Sus scrofa: one gene and its partner. The protein of the gene in region 1 binds, or shares a complex with, the protein of each later gene. Links are inferred from orthologs where the notes say so. Each region holds a gene or a part of one and is shown in the gene's direction. Other genes may lie near its edges. The genes, in order: ABCC9 and KCNJ8.

Region 1 (15,329 bases):
AGAAATCTAATCTACTAAATGCATACACCAGTATAACCGTATCACTATCTAGAACATCACCATCATCCATGACAGTTTTCTTGTGCCCCTTACCAGTCAGTCTTCATTTCCATCTCTGTGGAGGCACATCTAATCTGATTTTTTTTTCCCACCATAGATTAGATGTGCTTCTTCTAGAATGTCAGTAAATTGAATTGCATGGTGTAAACTCTTCTCTGGAAGACTCCTTTCTCTCAGCATGATTTTTGGGGACTTCTCCATTATGTGGTATCAATCCATATTTTGTTCTTATGATTGTTGGGTCATACTCCACTGTATAAATATAGCACAGTTTTTCCATTCTCTTGTCAAAAGACCCCTGGACTGTTTCCAGGTTTTGGCCATCATGAACGAAAAAAGCTGCTATAAACACTCATGTGCAAGTTTTTATGAGGATACATGTTTTATTTCTCTTGGGTAAATCCCTAGGCGTGGAATGAGGACAGGTACATAAATGTGTATATTTGGAAGAAACCACCAGATCTTTTCTCAGAGTGGTTTATTGTACATTCTAACTAACAGGGTGTAGGAATTCCTGTTGTTTCACATTCATTTGAGGATCTTGATATTCTAATTTAGCCATGTTGGTGAGTGTGCACTGATAACACATTATGGTTTTGATTTGCATTTCCCTGATGACTAATGATGTTGAGCACTTTTTGATGAATATTGGCTATTTTTTATCTTTGTGAAGTGACTATTCATATCTCTTGCCCACTTTTTATTGGATAGCATTTTTGTTATTGAGTTGTAGGAATATTTTGTACATACTCAAAACTAGTATTTCATCAGATACATGTTTTGAGAATATTTCCCTTCCAGTCTGTGGCTTTCATACTCACTTACTTAACAATGTCTTTTGATGAGCAGAAGATTTTAATTTTGATGTAGCATAATTTACTTTTTCATGTATAGTTATTGCTCTCTGTGCATAAGAAATCTTTGCCTTCTGTCGAAATAAGTTTCCCTCATATTCTCCTGGTTTTTAAAGGTTTATAGTTACAGTTTTTGTTTTTAGGACTTTATCCATTTACAATTAGTTGTTTGTATGCTTTATAAGGCTGGCGTCAAAGTCCTTTTTTTTTTCCCAAATGCATATTTGTATGTTTCAGCACCATTTGTGGAATAGATGCTCCATTTCTCATTGTATTGCTTTGGGACCTTTGTAACAAATTAAAGTGAATGACTTTTTTAGTACAATCTATTTCTTGGCTCTGTATTTTCCATTCCTTTGATCCATTCATGGATTTTTATGCTATCACCATTCTGTCTTGATTACAGATACCAATGTGTGAATTCATCACATAATCACGGCCTCTTAAAAACACAGGACCAAAAGATAAAGTCAATTTTAAAGGTTGTAGAATTATACATAAGTTCTGAAAAGTATAGCCTATCCTTATTTACATGTCCCCTTTTATCTTCACGTCTAGCCCACATAGTTAGAGCGGAAGCACTAATATTTTCAAGTCATTACTATACCTTCAATTCAGAAGTCCAAAAGTACACTAAAGCATATATGTTGTTTTATAAACAAATAACATAATCTGGAAATAGAATATCTTAAATTGTCTTTGTTGTTAAAAAGCATTGTATTCATATTGAAACTTCAGTGACTTTTATTAAAAGTATCTGTGAAAGATTGTATTTTTTCTTTTTACTTTTTATTTTTCCAGCCTTATTCCTGTATTGGGTAATGGCCTTTATCACAAAAACCATAAAGTTGGTCAAATACTGGCAGTCTGGTTGGGGAGTGTCAGACCTGCGATTCTGTATCACCGGCATGATGGTCATTTTGAATGGACTTCTGATGGCTGTGGAGATCAATGTCATTAGGGTCAGAGTAGGTATCTAATGATTTTTGCTTGTTACTGGAATTCAAAACCCAAATATTAAAGATCATAGTCAGCTAGAAATCATTAGTATTTAAGAGGATAAACAATTATATATTATCTATGTGTATAAAGTTGAACTAATTACTCAGTTTCAGACCATTAATATTCCAGAAGTCTCAATGTAAACCTAGAATCTATTTATTTATTCGTAAATATTGATTGGGTGCCTGTGATGTGCCATCATTATGCTTAGTCCCTATTATAGATGAAATTGTTCTCACCAGGAAGTTCCATCATCTGTGATTGGTCCAAAGCAAATTTGGTTTAATCAAACTAGTGTATTCTCAGAAATTTCAATCTGAGAAGAAGATCATCTCATCCAGTGTACTCATTTCATTGATTAAAAAACTTCTGTAGACATAACTTTAGCTTTATAGCCAAAGTAACATGGTCAAGTTTCATACCTGGTCTGTGATTACAGACCTATTGCACTTCCCGCCACATAGCCTTGTCAGTTTTATTATGTGACATGCTAGTGTCTGATTTTTCAATGTTCATTTTTCTGTCTGAGCACTTTGACTTTGCTCTGAATGGCAAGATACATGCTTCAGTGGGTAATGGAAAATAGTGAACATCAGCCAGACCACAAATTAACAGGGAGTGACTCAATAATGCTTTGATAACACATTTAAACCATCTACATAATGTAAAAATCTTCATGTAGCTGAATCTATTACTAAATATCATGAAGTATCACGAAAGTATATCCAGAAAGATTGATTCTTAGGGAGAAATGTGGTTTAAAGGGATAATTGATTTTTTAGTATTGGCTCAAGTGTATTAAATGAAAATCTGGAATTTAACTAGAATATAGTCACGACAAAAGGGATTTTTTTTTTCCCTCCAAAGAATAGTTCAGAAAGGGATGGAAAAAAAATATGAACATATAAATTTCAGCCTACTGAAATGAAAATATAAAAAAGGTGAACATTTTATTTTTAATCTGTGGAAAAAGAAGGAGGTTAACTGTTATTCTTTGGAATTTTTCTTACCACAGAGATATGTGTTCTTCATGAATCCTCAGAAAGTAAAGCCTCCTGAAGACCTCCAGGATCTGGGAGTGAGATTTCTCCAGCCGTTTGTGAATTTACTGTCAAAAGCAACGTACTGGTGGATGAACACGCTCATTATATCTGCTCATAAGAAGCCTATTGATCTGAAGGCCATTGGAAAATTACCAATAGCCATGAGGGCGGTAACAAATTATGTTTGTCTGAAAGATGCCTATGAAGAACAAAAGGTAATTTAGTATCAGGTTTTTGTTTTGTTTGTTTTTAGGGCTGCACCTGAGGCATATGGAAGTTTCCAGGCTAGGGGTTGAATCAGAGCTGCAGCCTCCAGCCTACGTGACAGCCACAGCAACACGGGATCTGAGCTGTGTCTTTGACCTATACCACAGCTCATGAGAATGCTGGATCCTTATAGCCCACTGGATCCTTATAGCCCACTGGGAGGCCAGGGATCAAATGCAAGTCCTCATGGATGCTAGTCAGATTCGCTACTGCTGAGCTACAGTGGGAACTCCCCCAGTAGCTTTGAGTCTTGTTAACTGGGCTGCTGAGAATATGCCAGAAGAGCCAGTGAAAATGCTGGGTTAGTTGCCCCGCATGAGACGAAGAGGGTTGGAGGGAGCTCTGTCTTTTCTCTGAGCTCTAGTGGAAAGTAAGAATTAAATTCAGTAATCATGTATGTCTAATCCTTGTTATTAAGCAATATTAATAATTCATGGAATTTTTGTCTTTTTTCAAGTATCTTGCCAATAATTTTGTTATTTGAAAGGAAAATAGATCATATCCATGAAAAGTTAATTTTGAGAAGCAAAAGTCCTTAAATAGATGATTAACTAAATTTTGGACTCTATATTTCAAAGTTGGGGAACTAAATTAGAGGGGACTCACCTGCCTACTCCATGTATCATCCTACATGTCTGCCAAAATTGGTTTCTTCTGGTACTTTCTTTGAGTATTTTTCATTGCTTCTAAAATTTTAAACAGGAGACTCTGAATATTTTCAGTTTATCTTGTTATCATTCTGAGTAGTCATGTATGCTACCTGCAGTGGACAATGTATTTTATATTGCCATAATCTACAAATATTATTGTAATTAAAAATACGAGTATTCACAGTGACATTGGAAGGGAATAGGGTATGGTGAATCAGAGAGTTTTTGGCTGTTCTAAATCAAGATCAACAAAGCATTTATGGTAAATGATGAAAATGACCTCTGTTTTGTGTCAAAAATGTGTTTTGAAATTAATATTGCAGGAAATGGTTACTACAAATGAACCTGAGTCATGTCTCTGGTTTCACCTCTGGGAAAAGTATTGCATAATATTTAAAGCTCATTTTCTAAAGTAAAGATTAACGATATAGCCTAAGCCTAGCTTAAGTTTCCTGAGTGCTCTTTATAACACAAATTTGCTTGAAGTTGGGGTGTTAATGTCTTTTATCAATAAACTTTAAAAAATTATCAAATTATTCATCTCACAGGAAGTTGAATATTAAACACAATTGAACTCTAACGCATTGAGTTAGCTTCTTTGTAACAGTGAAAAAGCTTTATCCACTTCCTCTCCAAGATGTAATTATGATTGTTCAGGCCTTAAAATCTTTTGAACAAATGATTATAGAAGTACGAAGTCAGGAGTTGGCTTAAACAAATATGCCATTTTTGTTTTGCACTTTAAGGAATAACGAGGATACGTTAAGTCTAATATAACTTTATGACATATTGACATCACCACCCCCACCTCATCCCACTCCCATTTATGGAGATGGGAAATACCTGGAGAAGAAAAAATTTGAAGTTGGGATATTCTTTTTTTAGCTTATAGTGATTTGATATCCTGTGATCTAGTAACTTCAGTCATCATAAATAGACTGTCAATAATCTGGACTGTTGTATTTTACCATTTTCCGTACAGTGTTATTTGGTAATATTCATGAAAGATTTATTTATTTTCTAAATCAAAGGGAATTAAAATTAATTTGGTTCTTAGAATTTGGGGTCATCCTTTGACAACTAAAAATAATACAAAATGTTTGAAAAATTGGCCTGTTTCAATCAATCTGTTTCATTAAATCTGTTTCATTAAAACACATCCAATCCCTTGGGATAGAACATGATGGAAGATAACATAAGAAAAAGAATGTATATATATGTATGTATATATGTGTATATATATTATATAACTGGGTCATTTTGCTGTACAGCAGAAATTGGCACAACATTATAAAGCAACTATAATAATAATTTAAACACATTCAGTAGCTATTGTTTGCAAAGAATGTAAGGATACTAAACTATATGTACTGCATTGAAACATTTACTTTCAATCTTTTGAAATATAAGAAAAGATTTCTATAGTTGGTAAGATTAATTGTTGCTCTATTATTTTATTTTGGTTCATCAAGTTTTTTTTTGTTCTTTCAGAAAAAAGTGGCAGATCATCCAAATCGGACTCCATCTATATGGCTGGCAATGTACACAGCTTTTGGACGGCCGATTCTACTTAGTAGCACATTTCGTTATCTTGCCGACTTACTGGGTTTTGCTGGGCCTCTCTGTATTTCTGGAATCGTTCAGCGTGTGAATGAAACCCAGAATGGAACAAATAACGCAACAGGAGTAAGTTTGTGGTGCTTTTGAAAGGAAACATATTATTGGCACATTTCTTTGTAATTCTTACTTTTTAAAAATACCATTTGATGAGCAGTTCGCATAGGCTTATTTATAGAGAATTGAATTTTTTCATAATTTGTTTTAATTGAAGTACAGTTGATTTGCTACATTGTGTTGGTTTCAGGTATGCAGCAAAGTGGTTCAGCTATATATTATATATTACATGTACTTATGTTCATATATATATATATACATATATAAATCTATTCTTTTTCAGAATATTTTCCATTATAGGTTATTACAAGAGATCGAATATAGTTCCCCGTGCTATACAGCAGGCCTTTGTTGGTTATCTATTTTATATTTAGTAGTGTGTATGTATTAATTCCCAATGAGAAGTGAATGCTTTTTAAAAGAAGGAAAACAGTAGTTTTCCTTAGAGAAAAAATTATATAGGTATGTATTCATTGAATGGATCCAACCAACAAAATTATTTCTCAGGTTCAGAGGCTATGAACATTTACTAAGCATTTACTGTGTGCCAGAAATGATGTTTGAAAATTTCGCGTTATTTTATTTGGTCTTTACAGCAATCCTGTAAAGAATTTTCATGCATGAGTACATGAGGGTGGCTGCGTCACTTTTCTTAGGCTTATGACTAATGACGTTTTAGCAATGTGATTTGTAATATGCACATATCCTTTTTGTTGTATAGTAAAAGCTATCAGTCTGTTTCACAATGATCAGAGCAAGTCACATCATATTTTTATTAGGTATTATGTTACTGTTAGAGGCTATATAGTATAAGGGATTTGCTGTTATCAATTTGTAGTCTTATTTTTCTATTCTTAAGAAAATCTGCATCATTTATTTCCCAGTTTCTTTCTAAAATGAGTTAATTTCCTTAGTTTCATGTATAGAAACTCTAGTCTAGGTGAATCAATTTTCCTTTTCTATTCTCTCAATCTGGTTTCCTGTCCTCTTTTCTTTACCTGTTAAAATTGAGAATAATTCAAGAAAAAAGAATATATAAATGGGTGGGTGTGTGTGTGTGAGACTGGGTCACTTTGCTGTACAGTAGAAAATTGACAGAACACTGTAAATCAACTATAATGGAAAAAATAAAAATCACTACAAATTAAAAAAATAAAGTTAACTTCAGAAAAAAAAATTGTATGAATTTGCAGAGCTTGCAATGAATGCTGCCTCCTCAGTGACGCTTTTTCTGATTGTCCTCATTAGAATGTGACTCTCCTTTGTACTCTCCTATCACATCGTTTTCATGTTGGCACTTAACATAAATGCTATTTATAATGAAACATGTTATTTATGGATATGCTTATCTTTCTAGGTTGTGAGCTCTTTAAACAGAATGGTTGTGAACAGTTCACATTTGTGCTCACAATGCTTAGCCAAGTTCCTTGCATATATTGGTGCTCAATTGTTGTTGACGTGAACCATATATTTTACCACTGAATACAGTTTGTGGTGGTTTTGTCCTTACCAGCCTAATTACATGTAGATAACTAAATTCCACATAGAATTCCATCATCCCTCCCCCTTCCACACATTAACCCCATGTTTTTCTGAGAAGGAAGAGAACTTAAACATTTGTGTGCATCCCCATGAAAGAAGAAGGGGCCAGAGTAGAAATTAATGGATCTAAAACACAACTAAAGAGTACCCAAAGTGGCATGATGTGTTTATTCAAGTGTTGCTTTTGCCACAGTTTTCTATCAAAGAAGTTACCATATGCTGCTGTTTCAAACAAAAAGCAATCAACTTTATATAATCTTATGATGACTTCAATCATAATCAGACTAAAACCATTTTTCATAAGTTTGTGTTTTGTCACTGGATGTGTCATGTGGGCAAAATAGATACCCAAATTATGTATTTTATACAATTATTTCATTATATAAGTGAAAATCAGAAAAAGTCCACTGTGTAGAATTATTTTAAGTCAATAAGGCTATGGATGTTGTATTTTGGTTTTATTGGCCTTGCTTTGGACTATCAGTTTTGTAGCTTCTACTTGTAAGTTACAGTCTAAACCAACTTCCATTTTCATTGCCTACTTTCCAGCTAACTAAGGTAGAATATGTCTTTGTTGAACAAGTACTCCAAAAAAAAAATTGAAATGTTTTTTTTTTAGTTTTCTTTTATTTTCTACAATCAAGCATTTCCAGAAAACTTAATTAGCAGTGTAGGATTTTATACATTGAACTGGTTTGATTTGTATATGTGGACATTGTAAGTAAAAGTCAAAATTGCCTTGCTGTTTTATAAAGACACTGAGTTTTTAGATTTAACAACCATGTATCATTTAATAAATGTAAACTGTACACCAGTATATGAAAAATTTTAATTTATGTCTTTTCTTTTGGGATAAGATTTCAGAAAAACTCTCATCAAAGGAATTTCTTGAAAATTCTTATGTTCTGGCAGTTCTTCTCTTCTTGGCTCTTATCCTGCAAAGGACGTTTTTGCAGGCTTCCTACTATGTAACCATAGAGACTGGCATTAACCTCCGTGGAGCCCTGCTGGTATGTACATGCTTTGAATGATCCTGGCTTCTTCAAAATGCCACATACCAGCCAGTGAGAGGAAGAGTAGAAACTTTAGTTTTGTTTCTTTCCCTCTATTTTCATTTTGATATTATAACAATACTTCTAGGATCTAGTTAATAACTACCCTCCCCACAGAGCTAATTAACACACCCACTGAATTAAAAATAACATTTATAATATGTTAAAATATTTTGAAGTCATGCATTCACATATTTTTGTTATTGTTTGTTCCAGAGATTATGTTTAAATTTGAATATATGTTTTTATTATATTGCCAGAAAAAGTAAGTTTTAATTTGGGTGAAGACTAAAATAACAATACTAAAATGAAAATAATGGTTGACTTAAGATGAATTAGAGGGTTTCTTTCTTTTTTTTCAAAAATTTTTAAAATGTTATTTTTTTAATGAGAATAAATAAGCATAATGTTGATTATTAAGTTTAAAGCCACGAATACATCTTTTTTTTTTTTTTACAGGCCATGATATACAATAAAATCCTTCGGCTTTCTACATCTAATTTATCCATGGGTGAGATGACACTGGGTCAGATCAATAACTTGGTCGCCATTGAAACCAATCAACTCATGTGGTTCTTGTTCCTGTGTCCCAATCTATGGGCTATGCCTGTTCAGGTAGGTCAATATAAGTAAGATTCTTATTCACAAAGGAAATAAGAGCAAGAAGATAACGAAGTTTTTAAATTTCTTGTTTGCTTTTTCATTTAATTTTTTTTAAATTAAAGCACAGTTGATTTACAATGGTGTGTAATTTCTGCTGTACAGCAAAATGACCCAGTCATACATATATATATATATGCATTCTTTTCATAAGGGAAATCCAAATCAAATCAAAGTGTGTATCATTCACAGTGCTTGGTACAAAGTAAAATTTGAAGTATGCTTTGTTTCATTTTATCAAAATGTATTTATACACAGGTCAACTAAGTAGCTGTCTACATGGTATAATTTAAAGTGTATCAGGAGTTCCCGTCGTGGCTCAGTGGTTAACGAATCCAACCAAGAACCATGAAGTTGCAGGTTTGATCCCTGGCCTTGCTTAGTGGGTTAAGGATCTGGTGTTGCCATGAGCTGTGGTGTAAGTCAAAGACGCAGCTTGGATCCCACGTTGCTGTGGCTCTGGTGTAGGCCAGAGGCTACAGCTCCGATTAGACCCCTAGCCTGGGAACCTCCATGTGCCACAGTAGTGGCCCTAGAAAAAGGCAAAGAGACAAAAAATATAAAATAAAATAAAATAAAATAAAATAAAATAAAATAAAATAAAATAAAATAAAATAAAATAAAACAATAAAATAAAATGGATCAAAAATCCCAGGCTCTCTCTGAATGAGTACCCTCATGATGAGTCACCTGGAGGAGATTTTCATTTTGATTAGAATTCCCAAAGTTAGGCACTAAAAATGTGCCTCCAGAAGGTAACTAGTAAGCTGCTATCATGGGCATATAGGCATGGGTTAAAGGCTTTAACTGCATGGGTACAATTTATTAGTTGAGCCTTGATAAGCTGAGCTACTTGAAAACGAAAATTTCAGTGAGAGAAGATAGTAGGGTTAAAGCCTGAGTTTTTAGAGAATGAAGAAGAGAGTGACAGCCTGGAGAGGGTAGGCCTTAGTCATTCAGTCTTGGGTTTGAGGGCATCAGCCTTAGCTTCTTCACAGTTTTAGTTATCCCCACCCTTCTCGTCATTATGTGGGGTCATTGAGGAGGTGAAGAGCTCAGAGCATTTAGTCCACAAACAACCATCCTTGTTCTCTTCCTTGATGATGCTGCCTCTTACTTTCCATCCTCCCTGCTTTGAAAAGCGAATACAACTCCAAGAGAATATGGAACAATGGTGGGTGACAACATGTTCAAGAAAAAATTCATGTCGTTTTAAAAAATTGAAGACTTTTTGGTTGGAAGGTCCTGCAACCCCCCTGTAGCTTTGTGCAGTAAATTGGTTTGACATCAGCTGTACATGTCATCACACTAAAAATAAATTCCTGCTACTTAGCCCTCCCCAGATAAATCTTAGTAAAACCCAACTGTCGAGGTTGAGTTGACTTTCAAAGACACTTACTACAATAATTAAGAAATACTACAATTTCACTGAAAAATACTTCCTTTCATGCAGTGGTCCCCACACCCATTTCCATGTGTTTTCCTTGCTAGATCATAATGGGAGTGATTCTGCTCTACAATTTGCTTGGATCCAGTGCATTGGTTGGTGCCGCTGTCATTGTTCTCCTTGCACCAATTCAATACTTCATTGCTACAAAGTTGGCAGAGGCTCAAAAGAGCACACTTGTAAGTAATATCTTATGGAAACTTTATTAGGAAAATTGAATGATGCTGTTTTATTTTTGAATATATAGGAAATTAACATGTACCATTCAGGATGATTTGGAAATCGTTCTACTTATTTCAGTTCTTAAGCAGCAAATGTGAATTTTCTGGGTTGTACAGCAATTTTGCAAAGAGGGTTTGAAATCGAAGGCAATGATCTTGACTTCTAAATACCAGAATCACAATGCCTGATGTTTTTATGTGTTATGATGTGATGAAGCTTCAGATCTTCTTGTAGTTATTTACACTTATGTGTACTAGCGAATAAAAACATGTGCATTCAATTATGTAGACATTGCATGTCAGTTACTGATGTGGTAGAAATGGGTCAAGGAACAGATAAAGGGTCAGATTCAGTGCTTCTGAAATTAAATGTCCTTAGGGTTGAATCAGACCACGTAAGGAGCTATGGAGTTACACTGAAATGTTTCAGTGGCAGCTGCTCTGCCTGAGTATGTTCATGGTCAACTTGGCGAGCAAGAAAAAGCTCGATTATTGACCCTCCCTGGCTTCAATTTGTCATGAAATCATGTTATTTGAGCAAGAACTGGCTTCTTTTAAAGAAATATTTGCAAAAATAAAATTGTTGACAGCATGTTTAGAAATAAAGTTTGATTAAATATGAGCAAGGCTGCCTGTAAATCAGGCGTGAAATGTTAGGGATGCTGCCACTGGTGGACTGTTCCCAAGTTGGTGTTTCCACTGTGACAGGCAAGTCACAGGTCACACAACTGGTTTTTACCCATTGTTTTTCTTCTGCTTCTGGCAAGGTTAGCCATTATTTCTGTCTGAGTCACCTACCCTCTTTCCTCTAGGACATGGCTACAGAAAGGTGTGGAAGAGGGACAGAAAGAGGAGACATGAGAATCCAACATCTGACTTTCATTTAACTATTCATACTGCAGTCATTCACCAACAATCATTGGTAGGCAGCTGAGACACTCCAAGAGACAGAAAGATGAATAAAATTTGATCATTTGCTGCCTCTCCTTCCTTCCCTCTGCCTTTGGCCACCCGGCAGCTCCTTTTGAGAATTCATAGGACATGGTGTACCTTCCTAGTAATTCTAATGTAATATTTGGAGGAAGCTGAAACAGTTGTCCAAAGAGAGGCTTTTGTATCTGGTATGCATCTCTCTACAGTTAATCCAAGTTGTTGATAATCAGCGAATGTAATTTAGGTCTTCTTACACAAGGACTTATGAAGAAGGAGGTAGAAATCTCTTGAGGTTAAAGATAAGAGACTTGGTTTTGATAAGTGCCTAATGAGGACTCAATATGAACACACACAACACTGGTCCCTCATATTCCCAAATCAGAAGCAAACTAACTTTTCTTAAATGCATTGTTTCTCTTCTCCTAAGTTTGAGTGACAGTGCTAAGGAGAGGAAGAAATGATTTAGATACTAGGAGTCACTGGAAGCCTCTTTATCATTTCCCTACATGTCTGTATGTAGTATCTGCAAACATTATTCAAGCAGATCATGTGAAACTTAAGACACTGCTTTGATTTAAACCAAAGAACAGAGACATAAAAAGTTTTTAGGTGGAAAGAATTTCAGGCCATCTCATTCAACACTTCATTTTCACATCGGAGGCAGAAACATAGAGTTTAACTACTTCTCCTGGGAATCTCACAACCATCATTAGTGGCAGAGGCAGGCAGAAATCAAGCTCTGCTCAATCCCTGTTCAGTACATGGTCTTGCCTCTCTGATTTACTTGGCTACAGCTTGCATTGTTTTTTATTCCTTTCTTTTATAGGATTATTCCACTGAGAGACTGAAGAAAACAAATGAAATATTGAAAGGCATCAAACTTCTAAAGTTGTACGCATGGGAGCACATCTTTTGCAAGAGTGTGGAAGAAACAAGAATGAAAGAACTATCCAGTCTCAAAACCTTTGCTCTTTACACATCACTCTCCAGTAAGTCACTGTTGCTCAGACAACCGCCAAAGAGCATGTGGTCTAATCAGTTTCAGTTGTGATCATTGAGGCATTCCAGGCATCAGAGGAAGCCCATTTATTTTCTCCATTTGTGTTGTCCAGTAACCATGAGCCACATGAGGCTATTTAAATTTAAAGACGAGTTAGGACAAACTTAGAGTCAAGTATACCTGAATTCTACTCTTTACAAGTTGTGTGTCTTTGTCATGTTACTTGACTTCTGAAATCCTTGGTTTCTTCATCTGTAAAATGGGGATGGTGATGATTAAAATACTGATCATTGAAATCCTCTTAGCAGTTACAATTGTGATGGAGAATGGGTTTTCATTAAATATTTTTTTAGTGTATTTATTTATTTATCGTATTTTTTTGGCCGCACCCGTCATATGGAAGTTCTGGGTCCAGCTGCAGCAATGCCAGGTCCTTAACCCACTATAAAGGATCGGGGATCAAACTTGCACCTCTGAGGAGACCTGAGCTGCTGCAGTTGGATTCTTAACCCACTGCGCCACAGCAGAAACTCCAAAAATTTGTTTATTTAAATTGATTTGATTATATTACTGTTGACTTTATCCCCAAAGATCCTTTAAAATTATCTGCAGTTGTCTTACCTATCTTTTTGAGAGTTTATGATGTTTCCTCGAAAATTGTACTTGAAATATTGGTTTTGAAAACTGAGGAGAAAAAAAGGCAACATTTCCAGGTGAAAGAAACCAAACTTCATTCACATAAAACCCTCTTTTCTAATACTTTTTCAAGAATTTTAAAATACAATGCATTTCTTTCTCAACTCAAATTTTTAAAAAGCAATTGTTACAAAATCTTTTTTTTTTTCCTCTCAAAGAGTGACACTGAGTGCTCTCAAAAATAATGAGTTTATGTTAGTACAGTTCTTACGAACTCTAGCCATACTGCTACCACTGATGTTTGATTTGGTTTGTGTGTCAGTTTTGCTCATTTCTGTGGTTCCCAAGACTTTCAACAGTTTAACGTTTTGGAGGTTTATATATTGTTTCCTCTTGAATTCTAAGCTACATTAGTTCTTAGAGATTATGAACACTTCTTTTTTGAAACGGATTTAAGGAAAATACATGGTTTATATAGTTCATTTATTCTAGCTCTCATGTTGAATGTGTTAAAAATGAAATGGGAAGAAGATTTACCTTCCAGCTCTGCACCACTGCTAATATGGTGTCAGAATGATTGATATCCACTTGCTTATGTGATAGTTCTCTAAGCTGGGAGCTCCTACAGTACTTTCCTCTCTTCAGTGGACTGAAGTTCTCAAGAGAAGGATGGATGCAGCCAGAAATAATGACAATGATAATAACAATAATAACAAAAATACATGGAGAGACTCGGTCAATTATTGCCAGAAGTGACTTTGCCTGTCATCTTATATAGCCTTCACAGCATTCCAATGATTTCAATTTTATTACTAACTTCATTAGACAAATTAAAAAATTGAGGTGGAGAGCATTTAAGCATCTTGAATTTCCCCCAGCTACTAAATGGCAGGAGTGGGTGGTCAGCTTACCTTAACCCTGTTACCAGATTTGGGTTGGTTTTTGAAAGTCAGAGATAAAAGGAGAGAGGGCAGAGAAGGCCATACCAGAAGAGAAAAACAAGAAGTCATGAATGTGAAAATGTATAATCATGTATTGACGATAGGCAGCAGGAGTTCCTGAATCAATAGTGTAAATTTCCATTTGTAGCACTTCCAAGTTTTGTGATTTGCTTGCATATGGTGTTAGTGGTGGTGAAGAGCTTCAGCTATGTGTGTTGAATAGAGCTGACTTTAAATCTCAGCTCTGCCACTTCATAGCATGTGGCTTTGACCAAATTACTGCTTCTATACTCCAAGCCTCAATTTCTTTATCTGTAACATTAAATAATAACAATCTCCACCAGGTAGGATTGTAGTAAAGATTAAAATAGATTAAGGAGGAGTTCCCATTGTGGCTCAGAAGGTTAGGAACCTGACATAGAGTCTTTGAGGATGCGAGTTCCATCCCTGGCCTTGTTCACTGGGTTAAGGATCCTGCGTTGCCACAAGCTTCAGTGTAGGCCATGGATGCAGCTCAGATCTGGCATTGCTGTGGCTGTGGCATAGGCCTGCAGCTGCAACTCCAATTGGACTCCTAGCCTGGGAACTTCCATACGCCACAGATGCAGCCATTTAAGAAAAACAAAAATAGATTAAGGAGTGCTACAAATGTTGGTTGATTAGTTAATTGACTGTATTCCAGGCACTATGTCAAGTGTTTTATGTTCGTTATTTTGTCTTTTTTTTTGGCGGGGTGGGGGCGGCACACCCGCGGCATATGGAGGTTTCCAGGCTAGTGGTCTAATCAGAGATGTTGCTGCCAGCCTACACCAGAACCACAGCAGGGTATCTGTGACCTACGCCACAGCTCACAGCAACGCCGGGATCCTTAACCCACTGAGCGAGGCCAGGGATCGAACCTGCATCCTATTGGATACTAGTTGGGTTCGTTAACCACTGAGCCATGACAGGAAGTCCCTGTTCATTATTTTGGATAAAGCACCTGGCTATTGAGCTATTGCTCAATAACCTCCTTCTCCCGAGTATACTCCTCTAAAAGTTAATGTAATGATAATAATAACTTTCTCACAGATATATTGGGAGAATCCAGTGAGGCAAGGAATGTGACATGGTTCTGTAACTATTAAAAATATTTTATAAATAGTATTTGAGTAACACTATAGGAAGACAAGAAAAATGTCAACTGTATACCATAGCAGTTACTGTTGGGGCTAAGAAGGTAGATTCTCCTGAAATGAAATCCTGCCTCAGCACCTTGCCTGCTATACACCCTTGGTCAGCCTTTGGTGACATCTCAGTTTCCTCATGGGAAGTTGGGCTGTATTAGGCATACCTTGAGGAATTAAA
Region 2 (15,913 bases), about 140 kb from region 1:
GATTGATCTATAAATACACTTTCCACTTTCCCCATCTCATCTCCTGCTATTTCTCATTTCCATCAGATGTATCGATCTTGTTACTATTCTTCAAATACACCAAGTTTCTTCCCATTTCAAAGCCTTTATACTTTGCTCTTGGGCTACCTGAGTCCCTGGCTGATTCTTTTTTCAAATTTCAGCTTCTCTTACAAAGGTATTTCCTGAACTCTACGTAAAATTGCCAATCTCTGCAACCTGTTAATAGTAATGCTTATCCTGCTTTATTGTTTTTATAAATCTCAACACTGTAGATAATTATAGAATGTATTACTTGCCAACTTGTTCACCAATAGCTTCCTCCCTAAAAAAGCATTGGAGCAAGGACTTTGTCCTGTTTAGCTTGCTGTGTGTTGAAAGGTAATGATTGATAAACAGCAAGATCTTACTGCATGGTAAGAGAACTACAGTCAATATCTTGTGATACACTATATAGTGGAAAAGAATATGAAAAGGAATATATATGTGTAACTGAGTCACTTTGCTGTACAGCAGAAATTAACACAACATGGTAAACCAACTATACTTCAATAAAATTTTAAAATTAAAAATTAAACTTAAAATTAATCTTGGAGTTCCCATTGTGGTACAACAGAAACAAATCTGACTAGTAACCATGAGGTTGTAGGTTCGATCCCTGGCTTCGCTCAGTGGGTTAAGCATCCAGCGTTGTCATGTGCTGTGGCGTAGCTTGCAGACACAGCTCAGATCCCACATCGCTGTGGCTGTGGCATAGGCATGCGGCTACAGCTCCGATTCGACCCCTAGCCCGGGAACTTCCATATGCTGTGGGTGCAGCCCTTAAAAAAAGCAAAAAATACAAATAAAAAAAAAATAAAAATTAACTTTTTAACTAGAACACACCCTCACACCATGCACAAAAATAAACTCAAAATGGCTTAAAGACTGAAACATAAGACAAGAAACCATAAAGACTTAAACATAAGACAAGACATCTTCTCTCCTAGAAGAGAACATAGGCAAAGCATCCTCTGGCATCAAACCATACAAATGTTTTCTTAGGTCAGTCTCCCAAGGCAATAGAAATAAAAACAAAAATAAACCAATGGGACCTAATCAAACCTATAAGTTTTGTACAGCAAAGGAAACCATAAAAAAAAAAAAAGACAACTTACAGAATGGGAGAAAACAGTAGCAAACGATGTAACCAACAAGGGCTTAGTCTCCAAAATATACAAACAATTTACACAACTCAACAGCAAAAAAAAAAAACCTAATTGAAAAATGGGCAAAAGACCTGAATAGACATTTCTCCAGACATACAGATGGCCAACAGGCACATGAAAAAACACTCAACATCACTAATTATTAGAGAAATGCAAATCAAACTACAATGAGGTACCATCTCACACCGGTCAGAATGGTCATCATTAATAAGACTACAAATAACAAATGCTGGAGAGGGTGTGGAGAAAGGGGAACTCTCTTGCACTGTTGGTAGGAATGTACATTAGTACAACCACTATGGAAAACAGCATGGAGGTTCCTCAGAAAACTAAATATATAGAACTACCATATGAGGAGTTCCTGTTGTGGCTCAGCGGTAACGAAACGGACTAGTATCCATGAGGATGCAGGTTCGATCCCTGGCCTTGCTTAGTGGGTTAAGTATCTGTTGTTACCATGAGCTGTGGTGTAGTTCACAAATGCGGATTGGATCTGGCGTTGCTGTGGCTGTGGCTGTGGTGTAGGCTGGAAGCTACAGCTCCAATTCAACCCCTAGCCTGGGAACTTCCGTATGCTGAGAGTACAGCCCAAAAAAGACCAAAAAAAAAAAAAAAAAAGAAGAAGAAAGAAAGAACAAACAAACTACCATATGATCCAGCAATCCCAATCCTGGTCATATATCCAGACAAAACTTTCATTCAAAAAGACACCTGCACCCCTATGTTCATTGCAGCACTGTTCACAACAGTCAAAATGTGTAAACTACTAATGTCCATCAACAGATGAATGGATTAAGAAGACGTGGTACATATACACAATGGAATACCACTCAGCCATAATAAAGAACAAGATAATGCCATTTGCAGCAACATGTAGGAACTAGACATTCTCATATTAAGTGAAGGAAGTCAGAAAGAGAAAGATAGATACCATAAGATATCACAAATATGGAATCTAAAATATGACACAAAACCTATCTACAGAACAGAAACAGACTCACAGACATGGACAGCAGACTTGTGATTGCCGAGGGGGAGAGGGAGGAGGAGGGAATGGGATGGACTGGGAGTTCAGAGTTAATAGACACAAACTGTTACATTGAGAATGGAGAGACAATGAGGTCCTACTGTATAGCACAGGGAACTATGTCCAATCATTTATGCTGGAACATGATGAAAGATAATATGAGAAAGAAAGTGTGTATGACTGGGTCACTTTGCTGTACAGCAGAAATTGAAAGAACAATTTAAATCAACTATAATAAAATTTTTTTAAACTTTTAAAGTTTAGTATATTGAAAAAAAAATTAATTAGCAATTGTTATGAATGCTCCCTTCCTGACTCACAGATTCACACCTGTGAACTGGTAGATGTTTAAAGAGTTGAACATGCAAGCTGGATGGAGATTTTTTTCATTGCTGGTTCTAATGGATATTGCTGAAGAAAAATCGTGACCTAATTTAAAGGCAAGTGAAGCTCTTTCGCACAGAATTTGATACATATCTCAAAAAGAACTGTTCTCTGAACACTTTGGAACAGATAAGTACGAAGAGTTATATTGTCATTTCCATTTCATGATAACTCCAAAAAAGTGAGTTTGTAACATGCTGTTTTGATTACTAGTTTATGTAAGAGTTTATTAAGCTGATTCCAAAGCAATATGTTCCAAAGTGGTTTATATGAGGACACTAATAATGCAGCATACCAAGCAAATAGACCAACTGTTATTTGGGCTGCTAACATGAATCGTTTCCATTGTCATTTTGAAGACTCTCCAAATTCTTAAGTCTATTATGGCTCAGGAAAAGCAAGAGTTCCAAATTCACAAATCAAGTCAAAGGCGAGGTCATCAAATGCAAGGATTTCTTTCACCCCTTATCTCAAGAGTCCTTCCAAAGACTTCACTGATTTTTATCTGATAATCAAAGCAGTAGATAAATGGAAAAAGCATCAATCAACCTTCCTCCACTTATTTGAAGGCACCTGACAAACTTTGTTTCTTAAGAGAAAGAGAGTTGCAGAAACTTCTTTATCCACAACTAAAATGCTCACAGGGTCTAAAAGGCATTTAGGAGATGTTTACTTATAAGTTAATAGATATCCTTGAATTACTTCCCAATTATTGCATAAATTTCATGGTATGTAACATGAGCAGATTCTTACAGGATTCCTGAATAGTTGAGAATATCATAAGATTTAAATTTAGTTCTGTTCTAAACCTATTATAGGTCTCCTCTAGGAGTAAAGCACAAATTAGTCCTCATTTATAAAAGAACAATTATGAAATTATAGAACAGTATATATATAAAGTATATTATAAAGTTTTCTTAACTGTTCTATATATATGCTATATATATATACACACACACACAACAAGCACAGGCAACTATATTCAATACCTGTAATAAATCACAATGGAAAAGAATAATGAAAAGAATAAATATACATATATATCTGAACACTTTGCTATACACCTAAAACTGATACAATATCTTGAATCAACTATACCTAAATTAAAAAAAAAAAACCTTAAATGGAGGATAGCAAAATAGTGATTAAATAAATAGACCATAGATAAGCCTGAAGTAGTCAATGTGATCTTGAAACGTTGATTTCCTTCATAAACTTTTCAGAGGTAAATTTATATGTTCATTATTTGGACCATGATATGAGAAGAACTGAAGAAGGAGAAACTAGAAATCAGTCAATAATAAATATTTATTGAGCAGCTACTGTGTATCCAGAAGGACCTTTGGGGATACAGATATGTCTTCATTAGGCTAAATAGTTGTCAAGAGAAACATAGGCAGCAAAAGCCAAGTTTAAACAAGTTTAATATCTAAATAAGTTTAAGTATTGGGGATCTGGAATGGTTAGGAGAGTTGCTGAGGAAGGAAGGAGTGGATGGTTTGAAGGGAGGAGAATGAAAAGGTAAAGGCAGAAGGGAGAGGTGATGAGTAAGGAAATCTGTAGACAGATATGGCCCTCAACTCCAAGGAGATTTCTAAGCTTCAGATTACCCATGAGAACTGTGAGAAATTATTACAAATACATAAAAGGAGAAGAGAGGAGAGTCAGACTAAGTGCAAGAAAGAGAGAAACACTGTGCTGAGAGCACTGTTCCTTCTTTCCTTCTTTTGACAAATACTTGTTGAGTACCTACTTCTAAGAGGTAGCAACAATTCCAAGACACTAGGTCTGTGGTAGCTGACAACAAACTACTGCCCTCATGCAGCTTCCACTCAGTGCAGAAAAAGCAGTGAAAGGAATGAGTTTTTTTTTTAGATGTCAGGAAGGGAATGGAAAGAGGAAAGAAAAAAGAAAGTCTATAATATTTTTACAGCATACACTCCCCACCTTTCTTTGAAAGGCTGCTATTTGTTTTTAGATTTATTATCGACAAAAATTGACTGATTAATGTCTTAAAATTAACCTTGATTATGTGCATTCTTAGTGCCCTTATTTTGACTTAGGTAGGGTACAGAGTTTGTCATTTCAGAACAAGTCAACACTTGATTTAAAATTGCATATTTAGAAGAATATATCTTGGGAAAAAAATGAATCCTAAATATGTATTATAGTGAAAGACCAGAATTTTCATAGGATTCAGACATGGGTTTATTTGTTGTAAATCTTCTCATAATACTCCTCAACAGTTCACCTCTTCTCATTCAATTTTCTTACTATTTTTCTGTCATCACAATAAATGTCAGAGTCATCTGTGACTTTACTTTTCCCAATATTGACTCTATAGCCTTCCTTTTGCACATATTTTATATTGTCCACTGACATTGCTTATTAGCCCCAGACCTAATTCTTCTCTAACTAACACAATAGTTTCCAGTGTTCCCTTCTGCCAATCACAGAATTGTGGCACCTAAAGGGACTCTGCTTAGCATTGTAACCATCAAAGTCATCTGGGCGTCTTTTTCCTGATTGATTCTGCTAAAGCAGGCACTTACAGTATTCTCTAATAAAAAATCCTTCCGTGACTTACCGCCACCCCCTGAAGACTGTCCAGACTCCTTTTTTGAGTATTTAAGACTGTCTATGTATTTTTTTAAGCACCAACATGGTTTTCAATATTATGTTTCCCATTCAACAATTGAAAAGTATTCTTTGAGCCGCTCTGTGATTTAAGCTGTGCTAGAAGCTTAAGATACAAGGATAAACAAGTCACAGCCCTGTCCTCTAGCAGCCCCAGTTTCATGGGCTGTGAGCAGAGCAGGAGATGGGACACTTACATGAATAACCTATTGTGTGTTCAGAGTGGTGGCAACAGAGGCTGCCCAGAGAGCACCAGCCTCAAGCATCCAATCCTGTTATTTTGCTTACCTTGCTTCATCAATGAAGATTATATTGGTTTGTTACTAAAACATGGCCCACTCTTGTCAATTCTTGGTCACTTTGTTCATGACCTTTCTTCTCAGTGAAATGTCTTTCCTCAGCTTTTCTGCAAATGCAAATACATTGGTCTTTCAAAGACTAGATCAGATGCCAAAAAATCCACAATGCTTTCTTTCCTTAGTTTTCTCGTCTTAATATCTCTTATTTGAATTTCCAGGGCACTTTAGTTATATTTCTGTTCTTATTTTAATCACATCAGTGCTTGTACTAGAGTTTATTATCAAAGTCATGTCTCATACTACAATTGTCTACCTCTTAAGAACAGCAACTGTGATATATACACACACACGTATATATGTATATTCCTTCCCTTATGAAGTGTTCAACAAATGTTTCCCCCAGCTAAAATAACAGGGAATAAACTGTACACCAAACAATTGTAAAGCAGAATAACGAGGGGATTAACTGTACAATTTGATCCCCACACACTTGTGGTAAAACAACTACATAAATTACTGTAAAAGTTCAAAAATTCACGACAGTAGAGGGAACAGCTACCACTATCTGACTAGGATCTCAGGCTTGAAGGGGTTAAGCAGATCTATCCACAAAGGGAAAAAATGGTTCTTCATTTGCCTTCATTAAAGACTAATTTTAGGTCTCTTAGTAATTAAATGAACACATTGTTTATGCTCCATACACTTTCTGCCCTGAGTCTTGGAAAATACATGAAATTTCCAAGAATTAAAGTTTCCATTAACACAAGAGCCAAATCAGGAGGCTTGACCTGTGGGAGTAAGCACATTTGTCTTTGCTGGCTCCTTTTCAAAATGTTATAGAAAGATATTTACTGTATAAGCTTTCTTGTGCGCAATTGCTCTGTTTTATCATTCAGGCCATCTAGACAAGATGGAGAAGCTGCAACATTTCAGAAAGCAACCAATTACTGAAGAACAACGGTTTGAGTTCTAAAGTGTTGACAGCAGTCCTGTTTAGGGTAAAAAAAATTTTATTGGAAGAAACTTTGAGTGTTTTTTCTTTCTTTCTTTTTCTTTTTTTGGTCCCTGAGAACTAGCTTCGGTTGATGAAGAAATATACGTAGGGGTTTTGGTTTTCAGAACATCTTTCACTTGTATCACCCCTACTAGACAGGAATTTAATGTAAATAAGTATGTGTGCGCACAGTCTGGACGTCTCAGAGACTATTTTCTGGTCTCTATATCTGGTTTTATTCAATCTTAAGTAGCACAGTTATCTACCCAGGTTTAAAAAAAAAAAAAAATCTCTTTACGTCAGTGAACTCAGAAAGTTCGTTCCCCTGAGCAGGGAGCCTTTTAAAGACGTGCATGTCACGCGGGCGGCAGGGGGTCTCAGCTACTGGGAAAAGGAGCTGGTCCTACAGGCCCCGCCCTCCCTCCGTCGCCCCTCCTCCTGGCTGGCTCCCTACCTCCCAGTACTCGCCTTCCCAGCCAATCCCTCCCGCCCCCATCTGGGCAATTTCGGAGGCCTCAGAGGTCTGGGGCGCGTCAAAGACCGAACTGGGAGGCTGACTTGTGGAGCATCACCCCCAGCTCCTCTCCCCCAGCCCCTCCTCCGCCACCGGCAGTGGCCGGGGAATAGAACCGAGCAGGGGGAGGGGAAGAGCTATACCCATCCCCCTTCCTCCAGCCCTCCCCGCGTTCAGATTCACTTGCACCTTTTATTATTTTAACTCTTCTCCCTAGGACACGCGGTCCCCGGAACTGTCCCTCCGGCAGTCGCGGCCCCTGCTCCCGCGCGCCGAGATGGGACATCGAGGGACCTGCCCGCGAGGCGTGTGCGGAGAGGTGCGGCCGCCGCGCCAGCTGTCCAGAGTCTGTAAGTTTCAACGCTCCTCCAGGGTAGGGGAGGGGGGTGCTGTCCGCGCCCCCACAAATGATTTAAAATGCAAAACACGGGAGAGGTTTAAGCGTCGGATGGATTTTTCGGGGCACATTCTTTAATTAACTCTATCCGCAGCCCGAAGGCTATCCGGGTTTTTCCTGCAGCTTGTATGTTTGATCCCTTCGTCGTAAAGTTTTCAAGTTATAGAGTTCCAGTGGAGAATTCTTTTTTCTTTTCCTCTTTCTTTCTTTCTTTCTTTCTTTCTTTCTTTCTTTCTTTCTCTCTCTCTTTCTTCCTTTCTTTCTTCCTTTCTTTCTTTCTTAAATGCAACTCACACTTCTTTCTTGTCTGAAATACTTTTTCGTGATTTTCAAGTTACATAGCACATAACTTATTATTTTGTCGAATTACACGAAACGTGTTATTTATACTGCTCAGGAGGCCACGGCCTTTTGCTCTGCCTATTTCTAAAAATATTGGAAAAAGAATTACCCCTCTTTACTTTCAGTATTGCTATATCATGTGAATACTTTAGTAAATAGATCAGATCCTGATACCCAGCTGGCCTTAATATTTCTCATAGACGCTGCGCGTTTGTATCCTTGCACTAATCAACAGACGTGGGTAACCTTAGAATTATCATTGAGCCTGCTGTTTACAGGACGGCTCCTGGTTTTGTTTAATTAAGGCTATGCCCTTATGTGTTCTAAGCGATAAGGAATATTAAAACAGTTCAGATTCATACCAATTAATTTCTCCGGGATCCCAGAACTTAAGCGTTATCTAGACTCGATGAGTAAGATCATGCATTTAGCTTTGCACGTCACCTCGAATGTATAGACGCACCCCTTAATGCAAGGACTGAAGCGGTGAGGAAATGGGGAGAAAAGTTTTTTAATCTTCGTTTCCCTCCTGCAGGAGAGAAGGAGAGGCAGGTCAGAGACAGGTGTATAGGCTGGCTATGGTGACGGGACGATGTTGGCCAGAAAGAGCATCATCCCGGAGGAGTATGTGCTGGCGCGCATCGCGGCAGAGAACCTGCGCAAACCGCGCATCCGGGACCGCCTCCCCAAGGCCCGCTTCATCGCCAAGAGCGGGGCCTGCAACCTGGCGCACAAGAACATCCGGGAGCAAGGACGGTTCCTCCAGGACATCTTCACCACCTTGGTGGACCTGAAATGGCGCCACACGCTGGTCATCTTTACCATGTCGTTCCTCTGCAGCTGGCTGCTCTTCGCCATCATGTGGTGGCTGGTGGCCTTTGCCCATGGGGACATCTATGCTTACATGGAGAAAGGCGGGACAGAGAAGAGCGGTTTGGAGTCCACTGTGTGTGTGACGAATGTCAGGTAAGAAGGCAGTGGATGAGGCAGGGATGGAAACAGTACAGAAAAAAATACTGAACTGCCTTTTCTTCACTCTGCTGTTTTGTTTTAAGTGGCCCAAGTTTGTTTTAGTACCTTCAGAAACAAACAAAAAAAGTAAAACAAAACAAAAACAAGAAAATAACCTAACGCATTAGTCTTTTTAAGATCTTTTTAGATGCAGCTTGATGGACAAGGAGACTTTGAAAATACAGAGTTTCAACACTCAGGCTGGCCTTGAAAATATTAAAATATTATACCGGCTATTTAAAAATGGTTGTGGTTCACAAGATTCCACAAAGTGTCCTTCTCAAAAAAAAAAAAAAAAAAATGCACGTTCAGTTTTCAGCATGAAAAAGCTGCTGTCCATAGTTCCAGTATCCACAAGGAAATACCTCCGATCAACCAAAAATATTGTACAAATGCTAGTAATGTTTTTCCACGACTTCTCTTACTTGTGACATTTTCAGAAATCATGAGGAAAACGGGAAGACACTGGTGGAGAGATGTCCTAGCAAAAAAAATTACACTAGAAATTAAACAAATAAATATAAGCCCTTCTTTTTCAAGATTATCTTAAATAGCTGGTTGCTTGCATTGAATTCCAAAATTAAAAGTTATGCTAACATTCAGAACTAGAAAAAAATAATTTAATGGAAATTGCTCCAAATTTTTCATGGAATAGACTATGGAGAAGTGACTTAATGTTGTGGTTTTCTTTAAAAGTTTTAGTAGGACAGGAAGACATTTCTTAGACTGCCCTAATTTTGCTTTTTTTTCTCTATGTCATAAATATTCAAAGATAAGAAAAGTGAATTTTATTTCAGTGATTCTCTTCTCATATTTTCACATGGCTTAAGAACATTGACTTGGGGCGATATGTCTTAATTATTTTGCTGGAAAATCAAAAGAGATAATTATATAAAATGCAAAAATATTTACTTGAAGTGAAACATAATAATACTAGAAGCTTTTCCAGGATACTTTTTGAATAATATTACAATTTACATAATGCATATAGTAAAGCAACTTGAACAAGCACTAATTTTGTCAGGAAACTGTAAAGAACGAGACCTTTACTGACCCTGAAATCTCATGAAATTATCATACCACTGCAAGCGGCAGAAACCCAGACTGTAAACTATCCATCCTTCCATTCCCTGAGTAGCTGAGATGCCAGCATATCTAGGGGGCGGGGGAGAGGGGATACAGTATTTGTGCACAGAGATCATGTTACAGATTTCAGCTCAGATTTTGAGAGGAAACTATATTGAATTGATCCATTGGCTTTACCATTAGATATTATTTTCTTGTCTTAAACTTGTCTCAAAGAAAATATACTATAGGTGGTCATTAGTACACCAAATAAAGGAAACAACTAAAATACTGTATTTAACAGTATTTGTAGGTCAAATATCCTTATAATATTTCTCTTTAAGAAATTTATTGGCACTCATATTTGTGAATCTTTTTCCTATCAAAATACGTTTTTAATGAACATGGAGTAGATACTCATAAAAAGATGAGAGAAACAAAAGGTAAACCTGGAAAAATAAATGACAGCTGTTATTCACAAGACCAAAATGTGGGCTTTTCCTGTGGAAAATAAGGTATTAAGCAGTTTATTAGAGACATATCATCAAAAGTGGTATCTATTCAATGGTTTTATTTTTATAAACTTGATAGAGCGCACTGGTTATTGAAAGCTATTTTACTACTAGCTTTTATTTTTCCATAAGATGTGTTCTGTGGGATGTTCATTCTGATGGATTCCTGCTTGTGTGATTACTCAGTTCACTGTGAGAAAGTGTCGCCAATATAATGAGACAAAGTCGATTTTATCAGCATGACAATTTTAGCGTTTTAAGTTGCACTTCTTGCCTAAAAAAATATACTATTTGACATCTTTTATGGTGAAAATCTTACTGGTTTTATTTTATATGATATGGTACTACTTACACTTCAGAGCAACATAGAGATTAATCATAACAAACTGAACATAATACATAAGCCCCCCCAAAAAAAATAGAAACAGAAAATTTTCTATTTTCTCCCAAAGGGGATTTAAAAGGTGAACAATAATATGTGTAATTCTTTGCATTTCCTTTCCTTTCATAAGTTCAATGTCCTCCCTTATCACCAAAACTGAAAACAACCCATTGTAATACTCTCCAGTATGTCCAACTAACATTTGCCATTCTCCTTCTAGGCTGGTTCACTTTTCCTTTCATGTGGATGCCTTTCTAACATGAGTTAGGAAATAAACCAAGCTACTTCCTCTTACCATTCAGTCCAGCTCCTTCTTTCTGTAGCAGAACAAATGAGCAGCTAAACACTTTCATCTCTTGAGACTGTTTTGCACAACAGGTGTCCATAAAAGGCTGGGTCTTGCACCATGTAATGTTTGGAAGTAAGTTCTTTCCTAAAATAAACAACATACAAAATATGGCACGTGAATAGTCTCTTAAGCCATGAAAATGAAACCTCTGAGCATATTCATCATTACACTGTTCCCTAAAGCAAGTATATGTTATTAGAAATCAGTGTTGTGTTTGTGTCCCTTTTCTGGGGTATGTTCTTATTCTTTGCCATGTTTTTGGACCATATGATATATCTAGTGTGTAGCTAGTGCAGAAAGCAATTATTGTAGTTTCCATGAATTTTTTAGCAACAAAAGGGGTAAAAGATGCAATTTTCACACTCCATTTAAAAGTTAATTAAAGGAATCATCTGTGACATCAATATACTTCAATTTTAAAAAATAAAAATCCATGATTATGAGACTGAATAGAAAGAAAATCATCTGTGTGTGCTTACCACTCAGTCCCACCAAAGTGTAGTGTATAGACTCAATACTCAAATATTTAAACATTTTCTCACTCTTTGTGTGTGTGGAGTTAATAGACAGCTAATACTTTTAACAGATGGCCAGTCTTCTATAAAATTAGAAAAGTCCGAAATTAGGATTGGGGGCAAACAAAGACTGAGACTGTTTCTATTAAGAAGCCAGAACAGTGTAGGATATGTAGTTACGTGAATAAGTTAAGAATAACCAATTGTGGTGCTTCTCAACCACGGAGATAAGTCAGAGTCTTCTGCAAGCTTTTCAAAAGTCTTAGCCCAGGTCCACCCTGAAACTACCAAACCAGTGTTTACATTGAGATCAGGAAGAGAAGCACAGTTTGAAAAGGCTTCCCAAGAAAAACCCTAACGTTTGTTAGCCCCTCCCTGTGCCTCTTTCAGTAACTAGGCCAGAATTGAGAGGATTCAAGTTATTATTAATTATATGATCTTGACACAGTCAGTTACTAATCTCTACCTCAAATCTTTCCTTTAATAGCTTCAGTATTCTCTAGATAACAAAATGAGACAATGAGAAAACAGAGTTCCTTTCAAATGGCACCACATTCTTTTTTTAAAAATATAACACTCTCTCTATGTAAGGTATGCAATCACTGTTCACTAATGAATATGATTTGAAAGGTTATAAATAATAAAAAGTTCTCTTATTACTCAGTATGTTCCATATGACTCAGGTCACTTGAACACACATAGGCAATAAATAATGGTTATCGACCTGGAAGAACGTTTCACAAAGTAAACTATGCCTTCATGAAAGTGAAGTATTTCACAAAGTAAAATAAGCCTATTAATATGAATGTGTCTATTTATTATTTTAATGCTTTCACATGAATAGGTCCATCATTTCATGGTTTGAAGCATTGATAGTAGTGTATCAGAGAAGCCTGGAAGTAAGATACATGCAGAGGGAGAGAGAGAAAATGTATAAGTGTTTGTGTTTGGAGTCAGGCATTTGATATGTTACTTTGGCTAAGTATTTCCAAAAGCAATAAATAGCCTTTGGACATAAATAATTGATGGATAAAGAAGACGTGGTATGGAAAAGAAACTCATGAACTTGGAGAACAGACTTGTGGTGGGAGTGGGGTAGACTGGGAGTCTGGGGTTAAGAGATGAAAACTATTGCGTTTGGAGTGGATGAGCAATGAGATCCTGCTGTATAGCACAGGGAACTAGTTGCTTATGATGGAACATGATAGAAGATAATGTGAGAAAAAGAATGTATATATATGTGTGACTGGGTCACTTTGCTGTACAGTGGAAATTGACAGAACACTGTAAACCAACTATAATGGAAAAATAAAAATCATCTTTAAAAAAAAGATGTGGTAGATGCAGATATCTACATGTATGTCTATGTATACATATGTTGTATGTATGTGTGTATATACAATATATATGTGTGTGTGTGTGTGTATATACACACACACACACACACACAATGGAGTATTACTCAGCCATAAATGAGAATGAAATAATGTCATTTGCAGCAACATGGATGAACCTAGATATTATCATTCTAAGTGAAGCAAGTCACATGAAGACAAATATCATCTGATATCCCTTATATGTGGAATCTAAAAAAAAAGTACAAATGAACTTATTTACAAAACAGAAATAGACTCACAGACATAGAAAACAAATGTATGGTTACCAAAGGGGAAAGGGAGGGGAGATAAATTAGAAGTTTGGGATAAACATATACACACTACTATATATAAAGTAGATAAGCAAGAAGGACCTACTGTATAGCACAGGGAACTAAGCTGAATATCTTTTCGGTTTTGTTTTATTAAAGTATAGTTGATTTACAGTGTTCTCTAAATTTCTGCTGTGTAGCAAAGTGACCCAGACATACATATATATATATATACATTATTTTCCCCATATTATCTCCTATCATGTCCTATCACAAGTGATTGAATGTAGTTCCCTGTGCTACATACATCAGGACCTCATTGCTTATCCATTATATATACATATATAAAAACTGAATCACTCTGCTGTATACCTGAAACCAACACAACATTGTAAATCAACTATACTTCAATACAAAGTACATTTTTCTTTAAATAGCCTTTGGAAGAAGAAAACAAAAAATTCAGCATGTTATTTCATGATGGAAAACCTGATCTGATGGCATTGTGTTCTGACCTCATTTCTTACAGGTCTTTCACCTCTGCTTTCCTCTTCTCTATTGAAGTTCAAGTGACAATTGGCTTTGGAGGGAGAATGATGACAGAGGAATGCCCGCTGGCCATCACAGTCCTGATTCTCCAGAACATTGTGGGTTTGATCATCAATGCGGTCATGTTGGGCTGCATTTTCATGAAAACAGCCCAGGCTCACAGAAGGGCAGAAACCTTGATTTTCAGTCGCCATGCTGTCATCGCCGTCCGAAATGGCAAGCTGTGTTTCATGTTCCGTGTGGGCGACTTAAGGAAAAGCATGATCATCAGTGCCTCTGTGCGCATCCAGGTAGTCAAGAAAACCACAACACCCGAAGGGGAGGTGGTGCCTATTCACCAGCTGGACATTCCTGTTGATAACCCGCTTGAGAGTAATAACATTTTTCTGGTGGCCCCTTTGATCATCTGCCACGTGATTGACAAGCGCAGCCCCTTGTATGACATCTCAGCCACCGACCTTGCCAACCAAGACCTGGAGGTTATTGTGATCCTGGAGGGAGTGGTAGAAACGACGGGCATTACCACACAAGCGAGAACCTCCTACATCGCCGAGGAGATCCGATGGGGCCATCGCTTTGTGTCCATCGTCACGGAGGAGGAAGGGGTGTATTCTGTGGATTACTCTAAATTTGGCAACACAGTGAAGGTAGCTGCCCCGAGGTGCAGTGCCAGAGAGCTGGACGAGAAGCCTTCCATCCTTATTCAGACCCTCCAGAAGAGTGAACTGTCCCACCAGAACTCTCTGAGGAAGCGCAACTCCATGAGAAGAAACAATTCCATGAGGAGGAACAACTCCATCCGCCGGAACAACTCCTCCCTCATGGTGCCCAAGGTGCAGTTTATGACCCCAGAAGGAAATCAGAACACGTCAGAATCCTGACAGCAAGACAACCCCCCCACAAAAGTCTTTTATGAGATGTTGAAGGATTTATGCAGGGCACAGACAGACTGCCCCAGGGCTGGAACACAATCATTTGTCTTTCTAGATCTTCATGCACTAAATGATACTCATATTCCAACAGCAGTGCTTTCAGTGTCAATAAACAGTAACACAAAGTGGAGAGTTCATGGCTCACACTTGTTTCATCCATGCAGAGTTGGCAGTGATGGGCTTAAGTAGGAAATACCCTTGTGTCTCTCCATTTGAAACACAAGAATTACATTACATGCAGAGTAATATAGACCTTGGCTAGAAAAGCTGGCCAAGGAATGATTCTGCTTGAAATGCTCAGTGGGCGACACCACAGATCTCTCTGTTTCTGTTGTTGTCCACTCTAGAAATGTGATAGAAGGGATCATGGGACCCAAAATCGTGGTTTTTTTTCCTATTTTGTCCTTAAAACAAACAAACAAACAAACAAAAAACTACACAGGGTAAGAAGCCTGAAGCAAAAATTGAAACGTCTTAATTCTAATCTATTTCTGAGTGGATTCTGTTCATTCGCTTGTTCCTCACAGTGACCTCCAAGGGTTTCTTGGCCACCTGTTGGCAGAACCGGCCAAGGAGCTTTGGAGAAGAGCTAAGAACATTCCTGTCTCATTCAGGACTGGATTCTCCAAAGTGACAGCTACTTCTTTTGGCTTCTGACTTCTTCTGAAGAGCCTCCACTGTATTGAATATTTCATTAAAATGAAATTTTTGTATTCACTTTAGTTTTGCCATTTCCCTTTCACGAAATTAAAGCTCAAGATTAAAGCCCTAGTTAAAGCTCAAGAAATAGACATTTTTAGAGGGGTGTAAAAGAGATATCACGGAGTGATGACACTCGCCTCTGAGATCTCTCTGAGGGGCCCTCTCTTTGAGATCTGTTGTTCCAAGGGAGCTACATTTTAAGATTTTCATTTTATTCCAAGTTTTAGAAAGTTCTCTTGTCTTTTCTAGTTGAGCTTAATATATCATGGAAATCCTATAAACTTTTTTTTTTGGATCTCCCACCTCCCATTTTAAAACTACACTTCCTTCTCAGTAATATTGGAATTCAGACCTATCATATAGAAATACAGCATTATCTCAATTGCTAAAGTGAGATTTTCTGTCAATGCTTGATCTAATCATCCTTA

Evidence for each region.
Region 2: the proteins of ABCC9 (region 1) and KCNJ8 are in contact, whole or in part, in a cryo-EM structure (PDB 7MIT), measured with the Rattus norvegicus proteins. The link is inferred for Sus scrofa from reciprocal best matches to the Homo sapiens genes ABCC9 and KCNJ8. Residues at the interface, in XP_038963045.1 of Rattus norvegicus: Phe5, Ile10, Tyr13, Asn14, Ile15, Val19, Asn22, Cys24, Phe25, Ala28, Leu29, Val32, Val35, Phe36, Phe39, Phe42, Pro43, Ile44, Phe46, Ile47, Gly48, Trp49, Gly50, Ser51, Lys55, Gln57, Ile58, Asn129, Phe130, Lys132; in NP_058795.3 of Rattus norvegicus: Met1, Leu2, Lys5, Ile7, Ile8, Pro9, Glu11, Tyr12, Val13, Leu14, Ala15, Arg16, Ile17, Ala19, Glu20, Asn21, Leu22, Leu45, Ala46, His47, Lys48, Asn49, Gly54, Arg55, Phe56, Leu57, Asp59, Ile60, Thr62, Thr63.

The regions. Positions count from the first base shown.
Region 1 is NC_010447.5:51,553,057-51,568,385, forward strand, and holds part of ABCC9 (ATP-binding cassette sub-family C member 9), read left to right. Parts: intron 1-1,715; coding exon 1,716-1,882; intron 1,883-2,931; coding exon 2,932-3,174; intron 3,175-5,367; coding exon 5,368-5,562; intron 5,563-7,949; coding exon 7,950-8,102; intron 8,103-8,603; coding exon 8,604-8,759; intron 8,760-10,295; coding exon 10,296-10,430; intron 10,431-12,231; coding exon 12,232-12,394; intron 12,395-15,329. UniProt on the Homo sapiens protein: Subunit of ATP-sensitive potassium channels (KATP). Can form cardiac and smooth muscle-type KATP channels with KCNJ11. KCNJ11 forms the channel pore while ABCC9 is required for activation and regulation.
Region 2 is NC_010447.5:51,688,903-51,704,815, forward strand, and holds KCNJ8 (ATP-sensitive inward rectifier potassium channel 8), read left to right. Parts: upstream 1-7,024; 5' UTR 7,025-7,431; intron 7,432-8,355; 5' UTR 8,356-8,412; coding exon 8,413-8,786; intron 8,787-13,831; coding exon 13,832-14,732; 3' UTR 14,733-15,500; downstream 15,501-15,913. UniProt on the Homo sapiens protein: Inward rectifier potassium channels are characterized by a greater tendency to allow potassium to flow into the cell rather than out of it.